Struthio camelus: one gene and its partners. The protein of the gene in region 1 purifies or fractionates together with the protein of each later gene. This does not show direct contact. Links are inferred from orthologs where the notes say so. Each region holds a gene or a part of one and is shown in the gene's direction. Other genes may lie near its edges.

Evidence for each region.
Region 2: the proteins of YWHAE (region 1) and FRMD6 purify together in Homo sapiens (co-immunoprecipitation; 3 studies listed by BioGRID and IntAct, with this or other methods). This does not show direct contact. The link is inferred for Struthio camelus from reciprocal best matches to the Homo sapiens genes YWHAE and FRMD6.
Region 3: the proteins of YWHAE (region 1) and LMO7 purify together in Homo sapiens (affinity purification with mass spectrometry; 3 studies listed by BioGRID and IntAct, with this or other methods). This does not show direct contact. The link is inferred for Struthio camelus from reciprocal best matches to the Homo sapiens genes YWHAE and LMO7.
Region 4: the proteins of YWHAE (region 1) and KIF1B purify together in Homo sapiens (affinity purification with mass spectrometry; 3 studies listed by BioGRID and IntAct, with this or other methods). This does not show direct contact. The link is inferred for Struthio camelus from reciprocal best matches to the Homo sapiens genes YWHAE and KIF1B.

What each region holds. Positions count from the first base shown.
Region 1 is NC_090957.1:15,856,054-15,863,682, forward strand, and holds the start of YWHAE (14-3-3 protein epsilon), read left to right. Parts: upstream 1-4,628; 5' UTR 4,629-5,067; coding exon 5,068-5,131; intron 5,132-7,629. UniProt on the Homo sapiens protein: Adapter protein implicated in the regulation of a large spectrum of both general and specialized signaling pathways. Binds to a large number of partners, usually by recognition of a phosphoserine or phosphothreonine motif.
Region 2 is NC_090946.1:80,641,426-80,648,359, reverse strand, and holds the start of FRMD6 (FERM domain-containing protein 6), read left to right. Parts: upstream 1-3,933; 5' UTR 3,934-4,386; intron 4,387-4,676; 5' UTR 4,677-4,749; intron 4,750-6,934.
Region 3 is NC_090942.1:177,434,759-177,441,748, reverse strand, and holds the start of LMO7 (LIM domain only protein 7), read left to right. Parts: upstream 1-3,981; 5' UTR 3,982-4,016; coding exon 4,017-4,124; intron 4,125-6,990.
Region 4 is NC_090962.1:5,886,554-5,894,545, forward strand, and holds the start of KIF1B (kinesin-like protein KIF1B), read left to right. Parts: upstream 1-4,983; 5' UTR 4,984-5,217; intron 5,218-7,992. UniProt on the Homo sapiens protein: Has a plus-end-directed microtubule motor activity and functions as a motor for transport of vesicles and organelles along microtubules.

The sequences.
Region 1 (7,629 bases):
CGTTAAGTGCAGACTTGCATACTAAGCTTATCAGTTGCCCATATATGCTTATATTTTTCTTCACGTATTGCAAAAGAAGCATAATGAACTGTGTGTTCTTGAAGTAACACAGTTTGTTCTGAAGGAATTTTTTCCGATGGCAGTTAATGAAAATCATTTGTAGCTTTCCAATCAGCAATTATTTTAAGATAACAAAACACATTTTTTCTGAAAGGAATTTTATTATGCAAATCTTGCCTTTTTATTATGAAAAACAAATTGAATTGTTAACTAGCAAATACCCTGCAAACTTTGTAGATGTGGTTTTTTTTTTGGTGAAGACTGTATAAATTGCAAATATTTGTACACTTTGAAAGAGCAAAAAAAGTAACTAGAAGAGTCTTAATAGCTGCTGTTGCACTAGAATCCTAAGTTCTTGTCAAGCAGTTTTTTTCTTAGTCAACTGATACATTATGCAACTGTTTTCCACTATTCTGTTTTAAGCTGAAATGTGATTTTGTTTCATAGGTGATAGAAGTTACTATGTTTGCATTTGTACAAAATAGACATTTCAACTTATCGAACTCTTAAAGGAAAATAGGTAGAACATATGTTCATAAACACGTAGATGAAATCCTCTTGTGGCCTTTGTTTATCCTCTTCTATTTGTTCCTTCCCTCCTTCCCGATGCGTGCAAAAAATCATTGCTAAGAATGTTGGTCACAATCTCTTGTCTCTACTTGGCTGTGGTTTTTTTGGTCTATTGTGCATAGGCAGGTGTTAGAACTAGAATAATCATTTCTAGAAATACACCGTTGAAAGCAGAATGCTCAATTACACTGTGTTCTTCTGGTGCATTTACACATTATATCACACTAAAAGTACAACTGGCTGCTATGGTTTTTTAATATATATTTCATTTTGGTAAACCCCAGCCTTTTTACTAATATTTGACCTGGTTAAATCTTGTTAATCTGTTTGAATTTTATTTGTTAATAATGCAAATATTTCTAATCATCTTAAAACACTTCATTTTTTTTGTTAGTAGTTTTGGGGAAGGAGTCTAACCAAACCAGTTTGAAGAAAAATATGAACATGTGCCATTGTATTATAACACTATCCACTTTCTTGACAGTTAAAGTCTTTTTTATTTTTTTGTAGCATGTAATGTATATGTTCATAGTACGTGAAGTAAATAAAAGTATAGCCAAAACATTGGCTTGGTGTCATTGTCAATCAGCTGTTATTGGAGTATTTGCATTTAATAATATAGAAGTACAGTTGCTGGCAGTATTTTTTAATTGGCCATACTCATGCAAAAACAATTAAGCAAAATATCTGCAGAAAAAAGATAAAGCAAGATAACGAATAGAACTTATTAACCAGTAAAATGTTATGGCCTCTTTGAAACAATATGACTTTCTTTAATAAAATGAGTTCCTCAAGGGCAAGGGAGAAAAGGATATTCTCACTGCAAAGGAGGTTTCATGAGGAAAGTGCACATGAGACTTTGTAACTATTAGTTTCACGTGGAACTGCACAGGTGTATCAGAAGAGAGTGTGGGGGTTCTTTGGATGAGTGTCAGTTTGGAAAGATAAAAAGCTTCCAGTCTTAGGATCATCAGCAGAAATGAGCATTTAAGTATATAAATAATAGCAGCAAGAGTCTCATACAAGAGTCTATTAATGGTTTAATAGGATTTCTTTTAAATGTGGTAGCAGGAGAGCACTGTTTCAGTGAAAGACTAAGATCTGCCGTGTACTGTCAAGGGATGAAATACACAGAAAATGAGGACTAGAAAGTCTGATCTCCCATGTGGAAGGACATTTCAAACGTATATCTTCATTAGACCTATTTTTTTCCCATCACAGTCCTTAAAAGCTGCAAGGGGAAGTGGCCTTTAGGCCTGCAGGGATGGGAATCCATTTAGATGCAAGACCATCCATTAAAAACAAAAAAACAGTTCTTGAGACATATGCTGAAATAGGGAAAGGGAGAGATGTCTGTAATGGTACTACTACTCCACAATATCTAAAAGCCAGACAGTTTTAGCTTGTGGTGTACACCAAAGAACAGCTCTAGCTTTACTCCACCAGTTCCTTAGCTCTGCACTTTGTGCCATGGTTAATTATGGGCCAAAAGAAATTACATTTGTGGTATTCCAAATCCCTCAAAGCATTTGGCCTTTTGCAAGGGAGCTCCTTTGTTCAGTGTTTTATTTTTAAAGCATTTGTAGGAAGCCATACTGTATATTCCCAATTAAAGCTTTACTTGCTTCACTGTCCGTTTTTCCCAAAAGTATACAAGGAGTAGCCTTCATAATGTTAGCACTGCAGTAATAGTTTTCCTTGCTTCTAAGCGAAAGGATAGCATTTGTTTTCTTAGTCATAACATCACAGTGATAGCTTCTTATATTTAAGTTGATTCAAGTTCAGTTGGCTGGCTACTACAGATAATTTTCTCAGTCAATACTGTCTGGCATAGTCTTCAAGTGGGAATTTATTTAAGTGAGTGACTTTGTATTTAACTGTATTGAGATGCCAACTAATTTTCCTGTGATGCCCCTACGCAATACAGACTATTCTGTCAGCTTCAGGTGGAAAAAGCAAATTTTCATAGGTTGCGGTTCTGCCCCCAGCTTTGCCCCATTGTTCTTCCAATTCAGCTGCAGTGGAACTGCAACCGAAGGCTGCCTTTTAATGAGATGACCTGAGATAATTTCACAACTCACCACAGCCAAAAGGCAGAGGTCCTGTGCCCCTCTCCGCACATCTCTGACAGCCATGCCCTCCTGATTCTTAACGTGGACTGGCACTTGCCAGTTTTCTCTGTGAGCTGATGTGACTCAGGACTCGCACAGAAAACTGTTGCCTTTCCTTCCCCATCTGCCTCCTCCCGGCGATGATTTTTCCACTGCAGTAGTGATTGAATCAACTCGTGTAAAGGTTGCTGCTGCTGCAACGGATTAGACAAAGATTGCAGCAGGAAATCCTGCTTTGAGTGTTTCCCTGCATTAGACTGTTTACTCCTAATGCTTCAACAATTCTCTGACCGATTTCCAAACATGTGCATGTCCTCTGTAACCAGTGCATTCAAAAATATTTCAAGTATTCAGGCAATATGCTACAATTCAGCAAGATTATCAAGTGGGCAACTTACTTGCGGCAAACAAGTATTCTTAACGTGACCTGGTTTATTTGCACCATTAAGCTCTGCACAACTCGAGTACCTGCTCAATATGAGGATCACAGAAAAGATACTAAACGTGATCCAAATCTAATTTCTTGTGCATAACTCCCACACAAAGTCTCAGCAGCCGAAAAGTAAATTGTTATGGTCAAGATTTCTGAAGTGCAGAGATGATTTGCAAGTCAGACGCTCAATGAGTTTTCATAATTCACACAAATAGACCATGACTCTGTGTGCTGCTGGGCTCTCGTGTGCGTCTGCCAAAAACCTTGGGAATTGTGCCTTGTAGTTACAAACAATTCAGAGGTAAAGATATAGAATAGTTCCCAATTTCAGCAAAAACTGCATCTTCTGACTGTATTCCCTCTACATTGAAAATAGAAATTTTTTTTGGACTTGACACCTAATTTCCACCTTAGCCCAGAACATACTAGTGTCTTTGGTTTTTTTTGTATATATTTTTGTTTAGATAACACAGATTTGAATAGAACTGAGGCCCAGAACGTCACAAGGAAAGTTATGCAAACAGTGATATAAAATCAGTCTGTTAAATTTTGTAGTATGTTGGCAAGAAGGCCTTAAGGATATGTTACTTATACATACCCTGAAGCTCTTGCTCTCTCATTAAAGTAGTATGAGTCAAAGTCAATCAGGAAAAGATAAACCATTTTAAAAAAGTGTGTTTTAAATTAGGATTTAGCGCTGTACTTGCAGTTGCACATCAGGAGCCCGTTTCAGCAGGCACAAGACAAAACAGCAAAATAGAAGGATGCCCAAGACAGTGCCCAGGGGATGCAGGGTCCTGCTGTGTCTCCAGGGCAGCGAAGGCCCTCGGGCACTTCCACACCTTGGCAAGGCTCAGGCTTTCGCCTACCTGACCCAGGAGCCGCGGGGACAACCGAGAGACACGAGACCTCATTTCACACGTGCCCTGAGTGAACTTCTGAAGGCTGAATTTACACTAGCTAAGCACAAGCCCTTCTCGTCTTCCCAAGCCATGTTGATTTTGGAAATCAAGGCCTTATCTCAAGTCTTTAAACCCGCACTCTAAATATTTCACAAATGCTCTGTGAGGAACTTCTGAATCATTCAACCTCGATTCTGGCTCTCCTGACTTCTTAAAACTGAAATTATCGCGCCCTGCCTCAGATAGAGCTTCGGGGGTGATATTTCTCTTGAGTAAGCACTCTGGAGAAACTGCAGAAACCTCCGAAATCTGACCTACTGCTTTATATCCATTTCTAGATACACCGTGATGTAAAGAGCGTATGGAGTGATTTGTAAAAAAACACACTGAGGGGTATTCAAATAATGCTATCAGCGCTGGAGGGCGCAGAAACGCGTTGCCTGAGGGGAAGATACCAGATGCGTGAAAAAAACCCCAAAAAACCCCATCGTTTTCCTAAGCGCCCCCCCCCCCAGCGCCCAGCAGCGCGGGCCCGGGTCGCAGCCCTCCCTCACGCAGGAAAGGGGCTCCCCCTGCCAGCAGCCCGGCGGCCACCCGCGCTCTCCACCCGCGCCCCCACCGCCCGCCACGGGGCCGCACGGGGCTCCTCCGGGTCCCCAAAACAACGAGCCCCCTCTCGGTCGGGGACCCACAGCCGCCGGTAAAAACCGCGCGGCGGGAGCCCGAGCCCCGGCCCCGGCCCCGGCCCCGGCCCCGGCCCCGGCCCCGGCCCCGGCCCCGGCCCCCGCCTCCCGCCTGTTGCCAAGGAGCCGCCGTTGTCATGGGAAAGCGCAGGGCGCTTGCGCAGACTGGCGGAAGTGCCCGGATGTGTCGGGGCGGGGCTTCCGCCATATTTGCCCGGAGAGCGGCGAGCTGGTAGCTGCTGAGCCCCCCAGAGCCATCGGCTTCCATCCGCCCCGTGCAGTCCCCGACGCCGCCCCGCCTGCAGGACATGGACGATCGGGAGGACCTCGTCTATCAGGCCAAGTTGGCTGAGCAGGCTGAGCGCTACGATGGTGAGCGCTGGCTGGGAAGGCCGTGCAAGGCCAAGGGGAGAGGGAGGGAGCGGCCACAAAATGGCGGCTGGGCGGGGGAGGGGGGGCCGGGGCGGGGGAGGGGGGCACGGACAAAATGGCGACTGGGAGCGCCCCAAGGGGCTGGTGGAGCTGGGGATGGGGGGCCCGAACGAGCGGGCGGCCTGGGCCGGGGCGGGGCCGGTTCGGGGGGCGGTGGCGGCAGAAACCGGGAGTAAAATGGCGGCCGCGAAGGGCGAGTCCCGGAGGGGAAAGGGAGCCGCCCCCGCCTCGGGGGGCCCGACAAAGAGACCCCGCTGCCCCTCGTCGTGCCGCTGCCTGGCGCGGCTTGAGGCGGTTCCGCTCGGCCCAGGTTTTGCGTGTCTTCGGCCTGGGCCTCGCGGAGCCCGGCGGTGGGAGGCCGAGGTCGGTTCGCCGCAGACAACGCCCAGTGCCCTGCTCTCCGGAAGATGGGTGCCCGGCTCCTCCAGCCCCTCGGGAGGCGACGCTGGGGAGCGGCCTACTCTCCCTGTCGGGCCCCGGGGAAGGTGGCTGGCGCTTTTTTTTGTTCTCTTCTCCTTTTTCTGCGATTGGGGATACTGCTGCCCCTAGCAAACGTAGAGAGAGAGCGAGCTCTCACCCTGGAGCGATCGAGTACATCCTTCATTGCCTGAAGGAAACGCACATGCTTTCATTATGTGATACGAGTTTATAAAGATCATCTCTTCCAATGTAGTCTTTTCCTTTTTTTTCCCCTTGTAAAATTCCTGTACCATGCCTGATGGGTTCCTATCTCGGGGGGGAAAGGGGTGGTGGGGAGGAGCTGGCAACCTTGGATGGTGTCTCCTGCCCAAAATATGTCTGCCTTGTGACTGTTTCTTGAACGCATTTCTCTCACAAGTAGTAGAAAGGGCCTTTAGTTTTCTTGATGATGTTACTCTTCTGGGACTGTTACTTTTGACTTATGACCTTATGTTTATGCATTCAAAGAGAAATAAATACCTTTGAATGTCAAAACTGTGAGCATACTTATGCTTCACCTAGAGATAGGAAGACACCTCAAATACTTTATTTCTTTGTCATTTTCATAGTTCTTGCCAATTGACGTTCCTGTACTAGGTTCTGAGTTGCTGCTCAGAAAACTTTGGGTAGCACTGTTCTCAGGCATCAGAGAAAGGCCCATTTTGGGGAGGAAAATAGAAACTGCAGCTGAAAAGTAAGGCTTAAATAAGGCTTACTTCTGTGACTGTTCAAGTAGAGAAATGGGGTAGAAATAAGAATTCCATTAAATGACAGCAGTTAAATAGTCCTTTCAGAATAACCGTAAGGACTTACGAGAAAAGATGCCCCAACAACAAGATCGCGTGGTGAGACTGAGTTGACTGGAGGGAGTGGGAGCAGTTCCAGTATTGCACATAGGTATGCATTTAAGCAAAACAAAAGCAAAACACACCATTGCAACGACACTCCTAGAGCTATGTGTGTGTTTCTTTTGGTTGGTTTGTTTATAAGGAGGAAGGGCTTCTCCACCTGGCATAGATGTGTTGGCTTCTCCACCTGGCATAGTGTTGGCTTTGGTTTGAGTAGAAACCCGAAGTAAGATGCTTGGCTAGCATCCTAAAGGATTCATCATCTTTGGGAACTTTTGAGGTGCAACTGTCTTTGGTGCTTTTCTAGACTAGTGGTAAATTATTCCTGTTCTTCAAAAAGTGATCAGACCCTACGCCATTGTAGAGATCTGCAGTACCAAACAATCAGACTTCCTGTCTGCTAGGAGAAATAAGTTGATAGCGGTTGAGTTTTTGCAGCGTTTTCCTCTGTAGGATTTCTGTTGCACACTAGCATGGATATTTGTTGAACAAGCTGGCTAGAGTAAAGTGTAGAAGACTCCTCATGATACATTGCTTCTGAAGGGCAATGAGACTGCTGTCATTAGGGAGGAAGCTTTACATCTTCCAGTTGTCATGTTTAAAATAATGCCTTTTTTTCCCCTCCATAGATTCCATAAAGTTTGTTGAAGTCATGCTGGGTAAACCAATTTAAGGTGCACGCTCTAATTCTGTTAGCTGTTCTAAACATGTCTTCATGTCTGTCTTGGCCCTGGCCTGGAAGATTATATATTATAAATGCTATTTAGCACCTAGTTCTGTGTTCTTATTCAGCTGAAACAATTAAAAATGTTGGTCTAGTTTGTTCTTGTACGTACATAGCTGAAATGCTGTAGTTCTGCAAATATCGTAGCTGAGACTGCTAAATAATTGTGTGAGTGAAATTGTTTGAGGAAAGTACATTGAATGTGCAGGTTAATTTTAAATTTGTTCTTTATTTCGGTGATCTATGAGATATGTGACCAAAAGGTCACACTTACTAATTGGAGTAGATGGAATCCTGTGATGGTAAGTACCGTCTACAAATATATAGGAATACCAATCTGTCATTTAAGTTGAATGTGCATGTGGAATGACCACTTTTTGCATTAATACTAGGAGCGCATTAAGTTC
Region 2 (6,934 bases), on another chromosome or scaffold:
TTTAATCTCTTCACCCATTTAGGCAGGGCTGCTGCATTGGGAGGACGCGATGTGAGGTACTGGTACCGCCTGGTTTTACTTTCCAGCTTCAGGGCTGCCTTGGGGTTTATTTTACATTTAGAAAACCCTTCAAGGGCTTTGTGGTGGGATAGGATCTCTTCCAAAGCACGAACACATGGCCAGGCAGAGGGATCAGCTGAGGGCCTGTGTGGCCATTGCCTATTTAATAAGAAGAAACCCATTTCAGAGAGGCTGAGATGGCTATATTTGATTATTCGATTATTTTCTTTAAATCTGTGTTATTTGTCAGCTCTCCATCAAAAAACCTTTGGCTATCCCCAAACACCCTGGTTTGTCTGTGCTCAGTGCCTACACCCCCTCAGGTGGGGTGCCACACACCATTTGCTGGCAATGATTTTGTAGTGATACCCAGATTACGGATGAAACGTCGGCCAGCATCTGGCTTGGTACCAAGCCCTGTGAAACACCGATAGCGACACTCCACTTCATTGAGGTTTTCCTGTGGAAGACTGATTTTTGAGATCTCTTAGTCCATTTTTAATCCTTTAATGTAGGCTTTATCGATACCCTGCAGAGCTTAGTTTTAATGGGGAATTGAGATACATGTTCCCGCCTTTGTCAAGGCTGCGTTGCACATGACCCTTCTAGTGCTGGTGGATAGGATTAATGGTTATCCTCTCTTTCCCTGCCCACAAGAGGTTATGTGTTTCTTGCTTACGCCCATTTTCTTTTTTGTGGTCACCTGCCGACTCTATGAAATGATCCAGCTGTATAAAATCCTACTAAAAGCAAAAACATTATCCAGTATCTACCACCTGCAAAGCTCCGGTTCCTATCCAGGCATTGGGTTTCTTGGGGCTTGTTGCATGGCTGAAGACAAGACTCAAATATGCTTTATAGCAAGGAGGGGAACGAAGCAGGTTCCTCCAGGTAATTAAATGGCTCTTTTCCTCTGTGCTCTCTGAAGTCGAAACTGGAACCTGCCATATTACTGCGCTCGGTCGCCTGCTGTGTGGGTCGCTGGCAGGCTGCGAGAGTGTTTGCAAGGGTTTCCAGGGCTGCAGCTACCTTCAGGACAGCTCTTCCCGGCCAGCTGCAAGGTGGGATGTCACGGGGCAAAGTGCCTGGCCTGGTGACCCACAGCGCTCGCAGCCCCGAGCTGCAAAATGAGCCACTTCTGCTCGTTCCCGGCTTGCCTAAGGAGGGACAAGTGGGGAATGAGCGGCTCCAGCAATCAAGAGGAAAAAAGCCTGGTCCCAGTGAACCTCCTGGAGCAGCCAGCACTAGTCTTCATTTATCCCTAAATCCTACGGCTGGGGAGGAGCTCGTGGGTCAGTGTGTGCAAGGGAGCCAAGAAGCTGAAAATGGAGCCTCATCCGTTTGCAAAGGAGCGTTTGGCTGCCTGGTTTCTAGACCGGGGTCAGCATGAAGCAAGCGCGATCCCTGCAAGCAGTGGGATGGAAACACCCGGTACGGCCGCCAAAGTCTCGCGAGGTGGGTGCGAGCTCTCCGGCCGGTAGCCCTCTGGCTCACGATGATGGAGGACACCACCCCGAGTGACTGAGCCGTGGGGGGGATCTCAGGATCTCAGTGTTGAGAAACTCTCTCCCTCTTGCCCTGGGGTGGCTTAATTACAACCTCACTGTAGCAGCTCTGGGGTCCTTTGATGTGGTGAGCGCCTCAGACCTCATGCACGTATCTCCAAAAGAGATGTCTCCACATCAGCCGGCTGTCTAGACTCCCTTTATAGAGCGGGCTGACTCGGAGGGCGTGATTCAGTTCATCTCACAGCAGACAGCTAAATCCCACCCAAGGTGACTCTTAATAAAGTAACCGGTGGAGAAATTGCAGCCCTGAATGAAAGCCGTAGGGTTGCAAGACGCAGATCTCGTCTGTGCTGTGGGCAAGGTGCAAGATGTCACAAAGCCGGCAGAGGCGGCGAGTTGCTCTGCCTCCGACAGCCGTCCTGCTTGGGCATGGGCTCCGAGACGTCCTCCAAAGGCTCCCCACGTTCACTGTATGGGCTCTTCTCCCTATATCCCAAATTAAGCCTTTCGTCCCTTGCAAGGACCAGCAACGCAACTCACCCCAGTGCTGGCCGAGCGGAATCTGGCCTCAGCCCTAATTACAGAGGCAAATCCGGCCTTTGGGCTCTCCCAGGACCGTCCGAGTGCTTCTGCATGCTGCTGGGCAGGGACAAGCTGTGTCTGGGCTCTGTACACTCTGGGGTGAAACTGAACCTTAACTGGAGCACGGGTGTCTCCAGAATAGCTGTTCACAGACGGTCAGACTAATTAAAGCCCCTTTCAAGATCTCAGTCACTTTTCCTGGTGCAAGAGGCAGCAGCTTCCCCATAAGGGCCTGGCTTTCCTCTGAGCGATACAGCTGCCCTAGCTCAGGGCTCCCTTGCAAGGTCTCCTAGGACCACCAGCTGCCTCCTGTCTGGGAAAGCGTTCCCACACCCTTGGATACTTCCATTTTGGCTTTTCCGGTTCCCGAAGCCCCTGGCTTTGGGCATCTCTGCTGCTGCCCGATAACCAGGGTGTGCTTGGGGCTGGCCATGTGCCCTGCAAGTCCATGTCCAGCTGGGCACTGCTGCCCTGCAACTGCTGAAGGGCAGGATCGGATGCCGCATGGTGACAGTGACAGGTGGCTTGGGGTCACAGGCTTGTGAAGCCAGGGAAGGGGGAGGCAGGTCATTTGGCTTTGTCCCCAGTGCGGTGGGTCTGCTCGTGTCCTGCGCCAGCCATGAGCGGGGCCTTCCAAGGGGCTGGCGAGCTCATTGGAGCGATTCTTGCTCAAGCCCTGGTTCTGGCTCCTGGCTCCTCCTGCTGATGCCTATCTCAAATGCAAATACGTGCTGCGCCGCTGGAGATGCCGGTGGGGAGCCTGTGCGAGCCCTGCACCAGCTCTGGAGCCGGGGAGGCGGGTGGCCAAGCCCCACTGCCCGCAGCACTGTGGGGTGACCAGGCAAGCGCCTTCCCCGTGCTGCACAGGGGTCACGACATAGGGAGGCAACGGCTTGCTGCAGTGCTCGGCTTGCAACCGGCACTGTCAGAGAAGTGGCCACCTAGAGCAACGATGGGCAAAAAAGGGGTGAGGGTAGCCAGAAGTGACCACCCATGGTCTCTCTTGGCTTTGCCTCCAAGTTGGCAGCACTGATTTGAGGGAACAGAAGCCAGTTCACGGGATGGACCTGCCACCACAGGCCAGAGTCCCTCTATAGCTGGCTTCTGCACTCAATGGCTTTTTTCCCACTTGTTTTGGCACTTTTCCCACCTTTGATCTTAAGAGACAAATAAAAAAACAGATAAGCGAATGACACCTCTCCCTCGCAGCCCTTTACTGCACATAACCCTTTTCCTTCAGGTCATTGCACCCATGACCTTCAGAAATCTGCCAAAGCTTGAGTTAAGGACTGAGGTTGCACAGCAGCTTCTTCCACCAGTTTTGGGGGGCTTTGGGTCTGGCTCCCTCAGCCGTGTGCCCTCTGTGGATCAGCCTAACGGGAGAGTTCACAACGCAGCACGCTCTGGCTTTCCATAATTGCCAGGCCTTTCATGGAGAAATGGCTCTATTTTTTTCCCCAGCCTACCCTCAATGGGTCGGTTTGACTGGATCCTAATTTCTGTCTTACGCCACTCGTTGCTCCCCGGACAAAAAGCCACATGAAATTTATCTTGCCATCTTTCGTTAAAATGAACAACTTAAGCAACACTCAAAAATCTCTGAACCAGGCCAGCTTGGTCAGCTGGCATATCTGTGTTTCCAAAGCATCTTCTCGTCCTGCTTACCCTCACTTCAAAGTGTACCAGGGAGCAGCCCGGTTCCTAGAGCACTTCGGCAAAGCATGTCAAAAGACTCTCGAAATAGATTATTTAATGCAAGGAAATTAGTAACCAAATGAGTTCTTAGCCAAACTGCTCCTCTTCTTGATCTTGGGAAAAGTAGTGTTTAAATTCTCTATCTCATGATTTTAGACTCAGGAAATGTGATTACACATCTGTCATTATTTTACTCTTCTATGTTGATTGCTCATATTAAACAAACCACATTCCTTCATTGCTTAGTAATCTCTGCTGTTCCCTTTCCTCTCTGAGGAGACAAGTCTCAGCTTGACATCAATGTACCTGTTGATCACAGCTACACTATTAACCAACTGGTAGATCTCTTTAGACACTGGCCTGCAGGGAGAGTTCACACCACCTTCCTCTTTTCTCCAGTTTGCTGCAACTTTGTGTCTCCTCTTTTCCTAACTGTCATTTGGCTGAAGAGCAAGATGAGTTGCGTGAGATCCACACCCCTTTGAAGCCGATGTGTTTCTCAGAAAGGAGTTTGAGCTTTCCCCTGTCTTCCACCGAGCAGGTAAGAACACGCACCTGGAGTTGGACACCAGTCAAAAAAGGGTAGGTCCCTCCGAGCAGAGCACGATTCCCAGGGAGCAATCCTGCGCCTGGTGTTTCACCAGAGCAAGGAGGACCTTGAGAGCCCAGCTCTGCTCTGGAGAGCAGGCGCTCTGAGCGCCCTATGGTCCCGTTGTCCTGCCTCGGCTCCTGCAAGATGAGCTCCCACCGACAGCGCGAGAGGAGTCTGCCCTGAACCGTGACGCCTTCGTGGAGACACTTAAGTTTTCTCTTGGTGGTTTTATCTTCCAGCTCAGTTGAGACAACCTGGAACTTACCATGGATCAGCTGAAGGAACCCAACTCATAAACGATCCCAGCACCAGGTAGGGTGATGAGTACATGCTTTTAATGGCGTTCGGCTGTGGAAGGGAAATGAGAGCTTGTAACCCTGGAAGAGCCATCTTAGCTGGCTCCCAAAGGAGCGGAGGGATTGCAGCTTTGACGGAGACGTGTCTAGCCACACTTTGCCTGTGGCTAACAAATGGTTGTAAGTGCTTTCCAGTCCTTAGGAACCCAGTGAGCTGTGGCAGAGGATCTCAGGGCACTGCGGCATTATCAAGCTTTGTCTTCTCCTGGTGGGAACATGGTGGCCAAGTCTTGGCAGCTGTGGTCCGGGAGGGCTTTGCGCAGTGTTTGGGGCTGCATTTGCCTTCTGTCCACGCTCATCATGGTGCTTCAGCACAAGAGCTGTGTTGTGAATGTTGCTCGGTGGACTCATATGTGGCCCCCTCGGTTTCTGGGGGTTTCTGCTTGTAGAGGACGACGCTGTATGCAGCAACCCCTGAGCTTTTAATGTGATGTCGTTTGGCTGGAATCAACTGGTTTTCTTTTGGTTTTGTCTGTGTTGTCTCTGGCAAGGACCTGCTGGTGGGAGGGAGCTGCAAACAGCTCTGCGGGGAGGGTGTCAAAGGTCTGCAATGTGTCGGGTGCTTTGATATGGTTTTCACCGCTCCCCAGCACCCGTGGCCGGTGTGCCAGCAGGGCCTCCTGTGTGGGGGCTCCTCAGAGCAGCACAGAGGCAGGTGCCCTGGGGATGGGGGCAAAGAAGGGTGGGAATGAGTCCGATGGGCTGCCAAAGGGCAAAGAGGATTTACCAAGAAAACCCAGGGAGAAAAACATAGTCAAGGAGGGAGGAAGGGGGAAATATCTAAGAAAGCCAAAGCAGAGCTGCACAGGAGCACCGTCCATCTTGTGCGCCGGCAGCGCATAGTGACTCCACTTGCGCGCTGGGTCCCCTCCAGTGGGATGGGGGGGCTTCTCCAGTGGGGTTGTAAGGAGTAAAAGGCAGATGGGGGGGGTCCCTTTTGTGCTGCAAATGCTGAGCTGTTCCTCTCCCGCAAGGGCCCCAGAGCTGCTGGGAGAGCAGCCGGAGATGGCTCTTGGCTGGACTTTGGGCAGGTCCTGAGGGTCAAGCCCCAGATTTCTCCCATCCTTGTAGCTCCAGGAGAGGGACTGGCTGGGACGGCCTGGTGTTGTGGAGGGGATCACCTCCCCAGAAGCAATCCCACCATTTGCACTGGCTATTTTCATGTTTTCGCTTGCTGCGTTGGGGGAGAAGTGACACTTGCTGTGCCTGAGGCTGGAGCCAGCAACTCTCCAAGTGCTGCGGAGCGAGACGGGCGCTCCCTGCCTGCTCTCTTGCTGCAGCGTGGGTGGGAAAGGCGAGGGGTCTGGTCTTTGCAACGCTGCCTGGGAAGCAGGGTTTCGGTGTCCCAGGCAGCACCCGACGTGTGTTATCATGTTGGGAAGGTGCTGCTCTTTGTGCATCTGCTCTTGTTTGACGCTGTCTTTGGGCCTGTGCTCCGGGGTTTGCTCCGCTCCTGCAACCCCTTATTTCCTTTTTAGTTGCAGAAGCATTTAAAATTGCCAGAGTCCCTGTCCTTTGCAATGAATTGAAAATGTTGTCTGGGGCGCGATGTGTCCTTGCCCTTACCGTCTTTTTGCTCTCCTCCTCCCTCCACACCTCCGACGTGGCCTCCACACCACTGGCCAAATGTCCAGCACAACCTCCGCACCAAAGCACCTCGCCTCCCAGCGACACGTTCCCTCCAGGCTCGAGGTCAGGAGGGGAGGTTTAGGTTGGGTAGTCAGTTTTTGGATCAGGTTAGAGACTAACTTAAAAATAATAAGGTTAAAGTGCTGATCTCAGCTATTGGAGAGCAGAGGAGGCCTAGTCTTCTTGAGCTCTACAAGAGCGGACGGCAAGGCGAAAAAGAAAATGCAAAGTTGTGTCTGTGTGCAAACATGCAAAGGCACCTCTCCCCGCAGCCGCCTTCCTCCTCCCCAGGCAGACAGCGCCGTGCCCCGAGCTCCCCAGGAAGCCGGCCTCGTTCCTCCCAGGAAATGGGGCTCTGCCACTGATTTCAGGGTGCAGGCTGCAGCTAACAGCTGGGCTTGGTCATGCGGCATAACCCAGGGAAAAAGCTGTGGTTTCAGTCCGTCGACCTGTTGACTTGCCAGTGTCACGGGTGTCAAGCGCTCTGTGAAAGCACGGCAGAGGGATGCAGT
Region 3 (6,990 bases), on another chromosome or scaffold:
CAATCAAGACTGCTGGCAAAAGAAACTGATCCCTCAGTGTCCCATAGTGTGCTTTCACTCTCTATCAATTGTCATTACAGGTAAAATGAATGGGATTATGCCAGAAGCAATCTGGCAGAATTTTCCTTCATAGGAAAGAAACAGGCCTGGGAGTCTGTCTTATCACTTAAGAACGTCTTTTGCACTCTAAAGAAAAAGTCGGAGGAGAGTGTCTGTCTGAAAATGTCACCTGGAGAGTCCTCTGACAACAGAGTCTGTTTTCTGTAAATGAGCTGGTTGGAAAAGTGAGGGGGGAGAACACTAATGAGCTTCCATTTCCAGCATTTATTTTTCTCCCCATAAAATGCAGTAGTGTTCAGAAAAGTTGCTCTACAGAACACTTGCTTTACATTGCCATGCTCATTAGTAAAGCCTTGAAACTTCCTTTTAAGTGAAATTCAAAGAATTTATTAAACAGAGCAACTGCATTTGTTTTCCTGCTGAACTAAAAGTTTCCACAATATAATTGGGATATTGCATCTTTTGTGTTAAAGATGGCTCAGAGGACTGCAGTTGGGAAACTGAGCTATAGCTAATAAAGATAAGGTGCTCTGAGGGTGAGGGAAGAGGAAGTGCAATCAAAACTGTTTAGCTATATCAGTTGTCTAATGTAGGGAAATGTTCATACCCATGTATGCCTATCAATGTTCAGAAGATGTCTGTATTTTAAAGCACTAAATGTGGGGACTGTGTTTTTGTGTAAATGTTTATTGCACACCCAAAAGAACTGGAACTTCTATCAATTATTGTAACAGACTTAGTGAAACCTCAGCAAAGGTGATTGAGGTTAGAGTAGTAAAACTGGGATAGGTTTTTTCTTGGTCACGTTTGAAGAATGTGACCTTAAGCAAAAGATTATAAATAAGAAGTCTTTGTGTTTGGAAAGATGACAGTTGTGCACACACTTTCTAAATAGTCTCCAAATCAGTTCTCTAGGGTAAATAGTCTTAAAATCAGTTCTCTAGGGTAAGGTTTCCTTGTATTTTTACTTTCAGTGTTAACTTCTGGATTATTAATATAAGATGGTACTTGTTAGTGAACATTGCTTTTGGACAGTCAGGTTCTCAGAAGACTGAGATCACAGTTAAGGAAGAACCATGTGTCAGGCTTTATACTGAGTGGTATCTGCTTACTGCGCAGTTCCTTGCTAGGCTGAAATCTCTGACAGACTGCTGCAGAAATACTATTTTAGCTAACATGTGCACTGTGGTGGCCTTCCAGTGCTTGTAATACCGTGGTTTGGCACAGGCACTGGCGAGTGTCTTGAGAAGCACAGACAATGAAGGGATCTGCAAGGTGCCGGAATATCTTTGGCATTGAAAAACCAATGTTAACTCGGACACCAGGAGCGTGGCACGCGTGCTTAGCTGACTTGTGTAGTCTAGCAAGGTTTGAACTGGGGTGAAGGAGCTTGGCTGAGCCCTCAGTGCTGCGATGCCCATGCAGGCATTGCATTATCTGTCAAGTTTGTGCTATTAACTCAAGCTCTGTGGAAAAATCATGTGGCATTTCTGAACTTGTGCGTCCCTGGCAGAGCCTAGCCCCCTTTGTGTGTAGCCTGCTTTGGCTCCAGGTATTTAGCGCTAGGACTGCCAGGAAATCCCTCTTCGGCTCCTGCAGTTCAGGTCGGCCATATGCATGATGGACGCAGGGAAGAAATGATGCATATTCAGCGCTTGCATAATTTTAGCTGAATGGAGCTGGTGTACTATGAACTGCTTGCGATTGTTCAAAGTCTTCTACGTATACCTGCATAAATCTTCCTGTGGTATTAAAAGCATTTTGTTGGGAAACATTAAAGATTGAAGAGCCAGAGTAATGCATTTTCCTTTCAATCATGGCTGCATGTCCACAACGAGGTGAGGAGAAAAGTGGTTTCTATCACTGAAATGTCGTATTTGGAAAATAAATACACTTAGAGCCCACACTAAAGAAAAGACACTATTTATTTTCTAAGAAGGGAAAAAAACCTGCCTTGATGGAAAATATTATTGCATCTAATATTGTTGGAACTTTTTATGAAAAGAATAAGTCAAGCCACAGTCTGTCTATCCCTGGGAGCACACACACAGTGAATTAGTTTGCGGAGTGAATTAGTTTGCCTACTCTTCTTACCAATAATTAGCAGTCATGCCAGGATTATGCAGTCTCTTTCTGATCTAAGAGTCTGGTGACTTATCTTGTTAGTGCAAAAGAATATTGAACAATTTCTGCTGTTTTGGCCTACATAGGAAAATTGTTGATTTAAAATTCACTTTGAGGAAGAAATGTGTATGTTGGAACTTGAAGTCACTCACTGAGTAAAAGCATCTACTTGAAAGCTGCTGTGGTCCATGAAACTTACTGAAAGGAGTATTTGCTGAAAATTACTGAGATATGTTATCTAAAAAATTACTTTCCTTATGATTAAAGTATTTAATCTGATTCATCTTGAAGTGATATAAAACAACCAAAAAAAAGTGCAAAAACTTGGAAGCTATTTTCTTAAGCATGAACTCTATTTTTTTTAAACCTGTTTCATAGAAATTTATTTTCAAATTTCCACCTTTTTCTCCTACTTAAGGCTGAATATCATATTTTTAATATTTGTGAGAAGGCAGACTTTAATGGCAAATGCTATAGTAGTTCTCCAAATGAAACTTTTAGTAATGACAACTGATGCAAATTGATGTCAGCCAGCAGCAGCACATGCACTCTTTTTTTCACCTTTGTAGCCATGAATGCAAAATAATTGAGATGAGAAGGTTGCTTGGTTCACACATTTCACTAAAAAGGAATGCACGTTCTTCATTTGTATTTGGTCTTACAGTTGCTCCACCTTGGGATAGGAAAGAGGAGTGAGGAAAAACTGTTTCAAAAGTATAACTTTCATTGTCGTTTCATTCATTGCTGCCCCTGTAGCACTGAGATCTCAAATCATACCACCGTGAGGAGCTAACTGTGTGCTTTCTCTGCATTTCTAACTTTAATAAATGTCAAACATCCTGTGGAGTTTATTTCAATTTGAATCACTGGTTTTTCATTTGTCTGCCACTCGTAAAACAAGGTCTATATGTGCTACAGAAACTGATAGCTAATAGCTTATTGATAGGAGATCAACTCCACCCAAGACGTTCATTCCCCTTTTAAGAAGGTTGTATTCAGATCAGAAATAAGATGTGCATCCAAGTAAACAGGTCAAGAGAAGCTAATGGGTGTGCAATGTTAACTGAATTTTCTTAAATTAGATAGAATTAGCCCATGCTCTGCCACAGCCCATAACAGCAGACGATACAGGCAGCAACTGCATTTTGCTTATATGGAAAAGTTTTAGGGAAAGAAGACTAATAAGAAATTCAAGTAGGGGCGGGGAAAAACCGCCTTGATGTTAAGGTTACAATGCAATCAAGGAGTTGCCCTTTATTTTGAGGTGGGCAAGCACGCCAGGGAGGGGCCCCTCTCTTGCTGAGCTTTCCTGCTCTGCCCTGGGAGCAAGGGTTTTGCTCGGCGGGCCTCAGCTGCCCGCTGCCTCCTTCACTGCGGCACAGCCCGCTTCCCACCGAGCGGGACCACAGAAGACGTGCGGGGCTGAGGCGCGACACGGGCACCCTTGCAACCCCTCCGAGTTAAAAACACAGGCGTGGTTACCACCATGGAGGGGGGGGGGCGTGAATGAACAAAATGACAGCCAAGAAGGTCCTCGTCCCGGCGTCTCCTGGAGCGGGGGGGGGGGGGGGACTCTCTTTTTGTGGCCACCCGCTCAAAGCGCCCCTCTCCCGTGGCGGGGGGGCGGCTCGGGGCTGCCCTGAGCCCCTCGTCGCCGGGGGGCCGGGCCGAGCCCGGCGGGGGCGGCCCCTGCCGGGGGCGGTTGCCTTAGCGCCAGCGGCTTCCCAAATTCCTGCGGCCGCCGAGTGCCGGCAGCTCCCGGCAGGGGGAGCGGGGCGGAGCCGGGCCGGGCCGGGCCGGGCCGGGCCGGGGCGTTAAAAGGAGGCGGCTGAATGACAGCGGCGCTGCCCGCGCCTCAGCCGGGCCGAGGACGGGCTGCTCGCTGCCCCGCCATGGAGGGGCCCGCGGAGGCCTTCGCCGCAGCCCAGCGCTGGGTCGAGGTGAGGCTGCTGCTGCTGCCGCCGCCGCCGCGCTACTGCCCTCCTTCCCGCCGCGGGCTGCCCTTCATCCACCCCCTCCCACCCGCCGCCTCCTCCTCCTCCTGCTGCTGCCCCGCCGTCCCTGGGGAGGAGGGTGCTGCTGCTGCTGGGGGGCTGCGGGGCGGGAGCGCCCAAACTTTGCTGCCGCTGCTGCTCGTTGAGCAGCTGCGGACTGCTGTTTTTCAGAAGGTGTCGTTAAAGCTTGCGGGAAGGTGTGCTTTTGCGCTCCCCCCCCCCCCCCCGCCTACGCGAAGGGATGGGACGGCGGCATGCCCGCGACTAGGGCTCACGGCTCCTTGTGCCTCTTGCAAATCACTGCCGCCAGCGCTCGCTCTGCGGCCGGCGGCGTTAAGGTGTTTCCTCCTCTTCCTCCTCCTCCTCCTCCCGCCTCGAAGGCTGCAGGAAACGGAGTAACCCAAAATTACAGTAACCTTCCTCTTCCCCCCACCCCACCCTCTTTCTTCTTATTTATTTATTTTTTTAACATCAGTGGCTGGCTGCGCTTTGCCGGACCTAATAATACCTCTGTTTGTCTAGTCGTTAGCCCGAATCACGCTGGCGGTATGCTAACGCCTGCGAGGAGGTCGCGACCAGGTTGTACCCGGGCGCCCTGTGCGAGCGAAATGGTGGTGTATGGCTGGAAAAGGGAGCTTGGCGACACGGAAGGTGTTTTTAAGAAACCTCGGAGTTCCTGCGAGCCTCGTTTTCTGTCATTGCGCGCTTTTAAAAGCGACCTTTAACATCTCAGGTTATGAGTTATTTAAACAGCTTTAAACTTGTAGGTATGCTTGCAGCCGTTCGCTGCAGGTGAAACTTATGTTGTTGGAAATACGCCATTCCGGTAACTTTGAAAAGCGTAAGCGTTCGAAGAAAGTCCCCCTTTGCCAACTTGTCCAGACCTGAGTTCAGGCTTCTTTGTTTCCTCTGGAAAACGATGACATCTAGTGCTTAAAGTCTATCGAGGAAAGGCTGAGTATTTTGAACCGAGGGCCCCGTAGGTAAGGGAATCGGGAATGATTTCCACAAATGCCAAATTTGTAAGTGCTATCAATAAAATTAGGTAATTAAAGCACTCTTTTTCTCTCTCTCATACACTTTTCTTGCGTGATTTTTTTTTTTCTTTGAGTCAGCGAAGCTTACGTTGGATGGTATTACCTCACCTATTTGAAAATCCTATTTTAAGGTGTTTTTTTCCTCCCCTCGTTTGGTATTGGCTTGGTGTACTATTCAAACAAAAGGACCTCTCCTTTGCCTGCCAGTAGCACATGGGAGCAATAGGGGTAAACTTATGTAAGTGTGAAGTGTGTGCTGTTTTTTATATAGTGGAAAACCAGTATGTTCAACTTCCTCTGTGTTCCTTCTGATTTGTGTGGTTGTACTTTGTTTCTGAAATGGGAAGGCTTACCTCATTTTAAAATAACTTTTAAACTTACCCTATGGATAGGCTTTTTATTTTAAGTAGAATAACTTAAAAAAGCCCGAAGGTATTGATACACAGGATGTTTAGAGTTCTGTAACGTTGAAGGAAAATGTAAATATTTATTTCTGTATGAAACAAGGTTTGCATTTCTGAGAGTACTTTGTATTTCTCTACTCTTTAAATTTAAAAAAAATCAAAACCAACCATTTACAAAGTCATATGAGAGGAATACATATTTTTTTAGATGAGTCGTGTTCCAGGGTTTTGTGAAACTGGGTGAAACAGTGGTTGAGAGCAAAACCTGAAAGATATCGAGAGTCCTGCTGGTTTAAGCAATTACTCCTGAGGATGAGGCGCTACTTCTGACCTTTACGTTTTTATGTTTTGGTTAGGATGTCATTCTCCAGTTTCCTCTGATAGAGGAAGATGAAAGCATACAAACACTAGCTGATATGTATCTATAGCTATCTATCTATCTATATATACACTTAAAACAACTAGGGAAATCCCTGTGTAAACTGTTGATATTTGCCTTTGATAATGAAATCTGCATTAACAAATATTTCATTATTTCAGCACAGAGCTTTTCAGAGTCTGGGATTAGAAAACCTCAGATGCTGAAACTGAGGGATTTTTTTGTAATGGGATTGGGTAGCTGTATTTGTCATATGGCGGGGGGAGAATGAGAATAGATGTGCAGAAAACTTTTGAAGCTTTAGGTAAGAGAGAAAATACCACTGCTCACACAGAACCCCCCCAGTAATGGTAATTAGAGTGCTTGTGTGGGGTTCAGAAGGGACCTGGTCAGGTCCCTCTTCTGCCCGTTCCCAGCTGAAGTCTCCCAAATCTCCATGCTGTGCAGCCACCACTGGCTGGTGGGAGCAGCGACATTTGACCATACGCTTTACACTGCACAAAAAAAAGGCACCCTTAATTAAAAGTAATGATAAAAAAAATGTTGGATCTGATGGTTAATGGAAGACTTGGGGTTTAGTTCAAATTCATGTTCAAACATTTTATTGTCATGCAGACAAGGCGTGCTCTGGTCTTTGCAATGTAAAGAATGTTTCAATTGCAGTCTCCCACCCCTTGTAAAATGGGTTTTTGTGCACGGTGGTGAACTGCGGGGAGAAGGGGAAGGATGTTTTTGCTCCTCTTGGTATTGAAAATTCTAGTTAGCGATGGCTGGTCACTCTCGGAGAGCTGACTGTCTAACACATCTATTTATTTTGGAGAAAGAGAATAGTCATTTTCTAGGCAAAACTTAAACTCTTCTCCGGAGTTCCTGTGCTGGTTGTTTTCTAACCCAGAGCCTGGCACTGATTAGTGTGGTTAGAGTCTTGTATCGGAGACTTCTGGCGTCTTCGGAGCTGCGCATGCAGCAGCCATCGCTAATCAAAATCACCT
Region 4 (7,992 bases), on another chromosome or scaffold:
CCGTTAATTTGATTGTGGTTAGAACCTTGGACATTTTGCTGCTAAAGTAACTTTTTCCTCTTTCCCTCCCTCCTTCCACCCTACAAACCTGCACTGCTGTCTTTTTTTTGTAATGCGAAAAAAAAAAAAAAATCCCTGTGAAAAAGAAAATCATTCCCCTGCCCTCAAAAAGAACATATTCTGTGCGATAACTGTGCCTGCAACAAAGTGTTAATCTTGGGATCGTATTTTTATATTATACATAGTCACATATTTGTTTTTTTAATTGGTGTTAGAAGACACAAGAATAATTTAAAAAAGGCAAAGATTGGACATGTGGATTTTAAGTTCTGGTTCTTTGAGATGTCACTTTTCTTTATGTTGATCTAGATGCTCTGGTATTTTTGAAAAGCCTTGTGATAGAAATGTGATAAAACAGCTGCCATGAATGAGATAGTTGGAATACCAGGATTTCAGTGACTTTTAAAAAAAAAATAAAATCCATTCTTTTAATGCTGAAGATATGATATATGCTAAATGACAGTTCTGAGCCATTAGAGCTTGTCCGCAGAGAGCAGATCCTTTTATTCTTGGAGGTTGCAGTTGGGGCAGGGATCATTTTTATGTTGCTTACCAATTTGTATCCATGGCTTGGCCTTACCAAAGCAAAAAGGGTGCAGGAAATGTAGAATTACATTTTTTTAAAAAAAATTAAAAAAAATCACAAACATTTTTGTATTACTGCCCCCTGCTTAAGATACTTGAATTTCCTTTTTAAAAAGGATTTGAAACCACAGTGTTTTAAAATTAAGTCTGTAAAAAAAGGTTGTTTTTCTTTTATTTGTTTTTTTTCCCGCTGTGTCCTCTGTTCAATTCCTGACTCTCTTGAACTACAATAAATGGTGATACACACTCACAGAGAATCTTTCCTTTGTCTTTCATTTAAGTGAGTCACTGAAAGTAGAAAAAAAAAAAAATTACAAATGATTGGGTGGCTTCGTTCAAGTTTCCCGATACTCATTTAGGATCCAGAGATAACTTGGTCAATTGTATGTGGAAAAACTGCCATGAACTCAAATATCAGTAGTACTTCAAACTAATGAGTTTCCACAAGTAGGTGAGTTTTGTACCTAATGGTAGTTACCTTGGCAGGCAGTGACCGCGCTCCAGGGGGAATTCTGGTCATATTATAATACAATGCTGACCTTTCAGATGTGTAAGTAATTTCAAGTTAACACGTTGAGATGCGGTGGTGTGTGCTTGTTTCTTTTTTGAGGGTGGGGGGGAAGATTCTGAAGGTTGTGGCTACATGGATTGTTGAACAGAGAAGATTGTTCTGTCACTCTTTGGTTTCTTAATCTGCGCTCCTTTCACAAATTCAAATCCCCCTCTTCCTCCCCAACAGTCACAGAACAAAACCTGCTATGTTTTTACCTGCAAATTGTCATTCAGCATCCAAGTCCATCATAGTTTCCGAACATGTTATAATGTGTGCAGTGAGCTATATCTTTCACGTTTATCACTTGAAAATGTGTCAATCCAGGTATTACAGAAGACATGAAAGCTGACATAAGTGGCTAAAACAATTTTATCTGGAGAACAAAGTATCAAATATTTCAGAAAGGTGTGGATTTAGGCACCTACTTTTCCAAAATCAACATTCATGGACAGAATAATGAAATATATTTTAATACAAGCATTTGAAATAGTACCATTATATTGCTGTCTTTTGGGTGCAGAAATGTATCAGTAGCCTGTCCTTTGGTGGATAGTAGATGTTTCAACAACTTAGAAAGCTAACCTTAGTATTGGACTAAGAATGAATCCTGCATAAAAGCTTATCAGCTTCAGGAAAACTCTTAGCTTTTTAGTCCATTTAATACAAGCTGTACTTTTTTGCAATTTTGCAATCAAATTTTATTACAATAAAAATAAAATTAAGCATCCAGCAGTTAATTGATATTTTCAGTGGTAATGTATTGAGCTTTGACGCTTACATGCATCTACAGAATCTGAGGAGTTTTGATCTGTGAATTGCGCAATAAATTGCTCATCTCAGTATGGGCTACCTTCCATGAACTTTGCAAAATGTGTCCTTCCAGGAGAAGTTGAAGTTAAAACATTGTATCACTGGTCTGTACTTGCCCTCTAGTTATGTGACTAGAGGGATTACTAAGCCAAGTTCTAATGCTGGTATTGATAAAATACAGTGCAATTGATTCTATTATATCATAATTTACTCTTATGTAATAACAAAATTTACAACCCTGTTGCCAACTATACACTGCTGGCAGCAAGGACAGCCTGTGATGCTGTTAATAGCAGGATGACAGCGCTGCTTTAGCCAATAACAAATTGAGTCCCCTCAGTTCCCGCGAGCATTACACTACAATATAGTAAGTCTTCCTTTTCCTTATCATTTGGCGTAAACCTACCCTGTTTCCTGCCTTTAAGCAGTCTTCCCAATTTTAGGTAGCACATCACAGCGACTTGAGTAACCAATTATCCTTGTTTGTAGTAATAAATGCAATAACTTTTTCACAGTACTGCTTGCTCTCATTGTTCTGGTATGATAATGCTCAAAAGCGGTTTCCTTGTACTGGGAAGTTGTTGGGTTTTTTTTTCAGGGGGGGGAAAGAAATATCTAAATTACTTTAAATCTGCATATGCTTGTGTGAAGTTACTAATCAGTCTGTGTGCTAAGTGCTGCAGGGCTATATGCTGTTTGTCAGAAGCTCATGGACCGAGAAAGATTGCCCCTTTTCTGGAGGGGAATGGACACATTCATTGCTAAAAAGCAGGATTCAGAGGTAGAGTACTGAAACAGAACTCCAGCTAAATGCATCTTGAATAGGTTTAATTCTATATTATTCTAGGAGAGCTGACTTTCAAAAATTATATTGAGAAGGCTAGTCAAAGCAAGGCCTGATCTAATTAAATTGAGAGGAAAATATGTAAGTTCTTTAATTAAAAGGTATTACAGCCAACTGGATGAGGGTTGCTTTAATACCTTACCACCTTCCAGCTGAATAGACTTGATATTTAAGGATCAATTTTTCTCTCTCTCACTGTCTCACTTTGCGATAAGTGACCTCCCAGATCCTATAGAGCATGCATCATATGTCCTTTGGTATCTTCTTTCTACAACTAAAGCTAGGTTTTCTCTGAGCATTCCTGGAAGATTTTTCAAGTCACTGTAAATGAGCAGCCTTAGAACTAACATGCTGGAACTGTTCTATGTAATTAACCTCAAAACTTTAGGAAACAAGGAAGTGGTGCGTGAACTATTATTTGTAAGAGAGAGTATGCAAAGTTTGCAAAAGTAAAATTAACCACCCTATTGCCATGGAAGAGTACAGCACATGCTCAGTATTGTAAGTTGCCAGTTCATAGATAGCTTTCCAGTCTTTTTTTTTTTTTTTTTTAAGAGTATTGTAACTCACCTAATTGTGCATGGCCCTAGATAGATATTAACGCAGCTAGAGCACACTAATGTGCACACTGCCAACTCCATTTTCCTGTCAATAGGGAGTATTCCAAAGCTCGAAGAATGGTATTTTCTAGGACATGCAAAACCTACCCCTATTGCTTTGCTGGTTCTGCAGCAATGCATCCTTGCCAGCCGATGCTCAGCTGTGCTCTTGTAGGCTTTTGCACACAATGGCTGAACTGCAGTGGGGAAGCACACACGGTCATAAGACGGGCTAGAGGAAAAATTACTGTTCACCCAACAGAAAGCAACTAGTAATGCATTCTTCCAAGCAACTGTAAACGATGGGGAACACATGAGAGACTAATATAGTTACCAGCCCAGGGACCTGTGAACAAAAATAAACCTTGTTCTGAAGCCAGAAGTCTCAAGTACCGAATGTTCTCAACAGTTCAGATTTGATTTGTAAATGATGGTGTGTGTGTGTGTGTGTGCATGGAAAGTAATGAAGGTATTTCATGTAATACATGCTTTTTCTTAAAAATGCTGGTAAGGTTAAGCATACGGCTATTCCTAACAGCACAAATGAATAAAGTACTAATGAAAAGGAGGAGTGTTTGAGTGGAGATTATTGCCACAACGATCAGTTTTTAATATAAGACAGAATATGTGTGGAATTTTAGAGTATGAGAATTTATGAACACCATTGTAACACCCAATTACATAAAAATGCATTATGAAATCTGCAGAAAATATCTTAGGCTGCCCCCCCACCCCCCCCCCCAAAAAAAAAAAAACCTCTGAAGGCGGGGGGGAAATATTTTTTCCTTCGGGTACATATCGCTGCTGTCGCTGGGCCTTACTTCGATTTCTCAGTGGGCCTCTGAGTCCTACTGAAAGGGCCTGGGGATGGCAGAGGTACGATTCGCTGGTCCGGGCACGGTTTTCAGGGCGGGTGGGCAGGCCTACCTGCCACTTGGCCCTTTAAATCGGGGCGGACGCCCAGAAGCCGTTAAAAATCGCAGTTTTTTCCGTCACATGGGCCCGGTTTGCGCTCGCCGCCTCACGGCCCCGGGGCCCCGCCCGACCCCCCCCCCCCACACACACACCGTGCGCAGGCGCTGCCGCCGCCGCCAGGGGGCGCGCAGGCACACACCGGCGGCGGCGCGGTGATGCGGCCCCGGGGGGCGGGAGGGAAGGTGTCTAGCGCCGCTCTTGATTGGTTAAAAGACGGGCGACGCGAATTCTGCCCTGAGCTCTGATTGGCTGAAGCGGCGGAGGCCCCCCCCCCGTCCGACTTCGCCGTGCCCCTGAGGCTCGGCGGAGGGATTGATTCAGGGGGAGGGGCGGGGCCGCAGCGTCGAGGGCCGGCATCGCCTTGGAGCCGAGCAGCGTCCTCCCTTCTTCCGGGCGGCGATTGGCTCCCGGTCGTGTCAAGCCGTGATTGGCACGGCGGAGGGCGGGCGCACACCTATTGGCCGCGCGGCGATTGGCCCGTGAGGAGGGGCGGGAGGCAGGGGCGAGTGGCGATTGGCCCCGCGAAGGCGGGGAGCGGCGCGCAGCGCCGCCTTCCTGTCAGTGTGGGAGCGGCGCTGTGGGGAGCGCGTCGCTGCGCTCGGTCCTCCCGGCGCGGCCTTTCTCCGTTCACCCGCTCCCCGCCCGGCGGCGGGCGCTCTGCCGGCTCGGCGTAGCTAGGCGGCGAAGCGCGATGGGGCTGCCCGGGCTCCCCCCCTTCCTCCGCCCCGCGCTGCGCTCCTTCGCCGGCCCTGCCGGGTGCTGACAGCGCCCGCGGCCCGCGGACGTCCCAGGTGAGGGGCGGCCGCGCGCGGGGGCGGGGGGGGGGCGCGACCCAACGGTCGGCGGCGGCCGTTGGCGGGGCCGGGTGCGCGCGCGCGCGCTGCTGCCGGCAGGGGCGCCGCGCCGCGGGGGGGCGGCGGGGCCCGGGGGCAGGGGCTGCCGCGGTGAAGGGGGCTGTCGGCCCGGCCTGGCCTGGCCTGGCCTCGCAGCTGCTTCTTCCCCTGCCTTCCTGCCGCTTCCCCGCTGGCGCCGCGAGCCATGGCGCTGCAGCCGCTTCCCCTACTGGACCCCGTCCTGGAGATGGCCTCATTTCTCCGGCCTTCCTCCCCTTGCCAGGCGGGGGGAGGCGGAGGCGATAACGGCTTGATTAGGAGGAGACACGGCCCCCCCGTGCCAGCTGGGGACGGCTGCACGAACCAAAAGGGGTTGCGTGTTCCCCCCCCCCCCCCCCGGCTGTTTTTTTCGGCCCCTCTAGGTGGTGGATTCGGTGCCGGGATTCAGTGCAGCACCATCACCGAGGCAGCCATGTTGGGATGATGATCTGACAATCCTGGGTGAGCTGAGGCAGGAGGCAGCGCAGGAGACAGAATGACAGGCCTGCTAGTGTGGGGGGTCACTGGCAGAATATAGGTATTAAACTGAGGTCGGAGGACTGATGTTTGCCCGATGCACGTGGTGAATTTTGCATCTGCCCTCCAGAAAGGGGAGTCAAACGTTGAACAGCATTCATACTGTTTTTTTTTTTTAAATTCGGTTGTTTTTGTTCTCTCTTTTTTTTTTAGTTAAATTATTTGTAGCCATATGTTTATATGATCTGATTTTCAGTTCAAGTTTTGCACCTGCACTCAATTTTCATCTACCATCATCACTTTAGATTAAAGTACAAAAATAGCAGTTTGTAGTGTTTGAGTTGATACAACTGCTATCTCTGACTGTCATCAATACCTGGTCCTTGGTGGAGGACCTAAAATTGGATTCCCTGTGGTCCTCTTGTTCATAAATCCCTGCTGCTCTGAACAGCTGTTTTGCTAACTTTCCATAGACTAATCTCTGTGCTTGTTCCTTTTCTTTCTTTAGAGCTGATGTAGTGATTAAGTTACAAGTGTAGGAAACAATTTTTTGTGTTTAAAAGTTAGCACGTTTTCTGGTAGACATACTATATTCTTTGTTTCCTTTACAAGTATGACACAATGGCTGGCTGTGTTGAATGCAAATGACGCTTCTTTTGTGATGCGTTTTTTTTATTTGAATGTAGAGAGTGAGATTCTGAGCTTTATTTTGTAATCGTTTTGAGTTTGTTTTAAACTTGTCTGATGATGTTAATAATTTGACTCTTCAAATCCCTATTTGACCTTTAGCTTTGTTTCAAACAAGAGCAATATCTTTTGTGTTTTGATGCTGCATGAAAACTGATTTCTCAGAACTTTCAGATATATAAAAATTTTAGAATCAGTCTTAATGAAAAACTTGTTTCAATAAACATTTGTTTGTAAAGTCGGAATCAAATTTCAAGTGCTTGAGACCCACAAAGGGAGAGTGTCTGTTTGTTAGCTTGAATACTAGAAAGCAGACAAGATATTTGGATAATTTGTTTAATGATAGGCTTTAATATTAAAAACCTCACTGTGCAACTTATAGGGTGTATGGTGAATATCTTTTAATAGTAGTTTAAAATAAGATTAGTAGAAAGCTGTCTTCTCTCAGACGTGTAGGGTTTGCTTGTGAGCTGACTAAATGCTCAGGTATTGCTTACATCCAGTTTTAGAGCCAGGGGTTATATCATGGTAAGGATTCAAACATGCAGGTCTTTTCTTTGACTTGGTTCTTGTTTGGATTCCTACAGGAGAAACATTAAAAGATGCACAGTTAGTAGACTCTTTCCAAGACATTAAGGGAATGGTTCATTGCAGAATGAATGGCAGCCTTCTAAGCCTGTAACAAATAGGAGAGACTTCATCTTTTAAGCTTGTATCAAAGACTGTAGTAAGGATTTTATTTGCCTCTGTTGCAAGTTATGTCTCCTCTTACCACTGCATAGACAGTGTTTTGTAACAGTAACAGGCGCTACTGAGAAAGGTGAAACTTGGAAAGCTAGTTGCAATTTATTACTGATTTCTGTGATACTTTACCTGTTCAACTTGGTCTCGTTTTGCCTTATTTTGTCATTCTGCATGATGAAGGCAGGGCTGCCTTTATCAAGTGTCAGGAGGACCGGTTAAAGTTGTGATTAACTGAAAAACACTAGCTTTAATTTATGAGAAACTTGGAAAAAAAACCCATGGTTTTGGGCTAATTTTCATGTTAATGAGTATTAAATCTTGCATAGTGAGATGATGTCAAAACATCTGAAGTCCATGTGCAAATGTAAACATGCATTTTGTTTACTTCGGCTGTGAAAAGTAGTAGACCTGAGAGTGAGATAGAAAATGAAATGCAGTAATTACAAATGAGCATAAAAAGATAGGGTTGGAAAAAGTTTGTAACTTCAAAGGCTACCGATGAGGGATTTTTTTAATGCTGATATAGGTGATCTTGTTCTATGAAAATTTTTTAACATCTGTCTTCAGAACAAAGTTCTTGTTTAGCTAGTGCGTATTGAATCCTTGGTGCTGTGCTTTGCTTTTTTATTGTGAATAGGGTGTATACTTGTGAGATTACTTCCCCCTATTTTAGCGTGCTCTTTGTTAGAAAATGATTTTGTTAATTGAAATGGCAATACATTTTCAGGTTGCTTAAGGCACTTTTAGAGAACGTTTCATTGGACAGTACAATAACTGTGTTCTTCA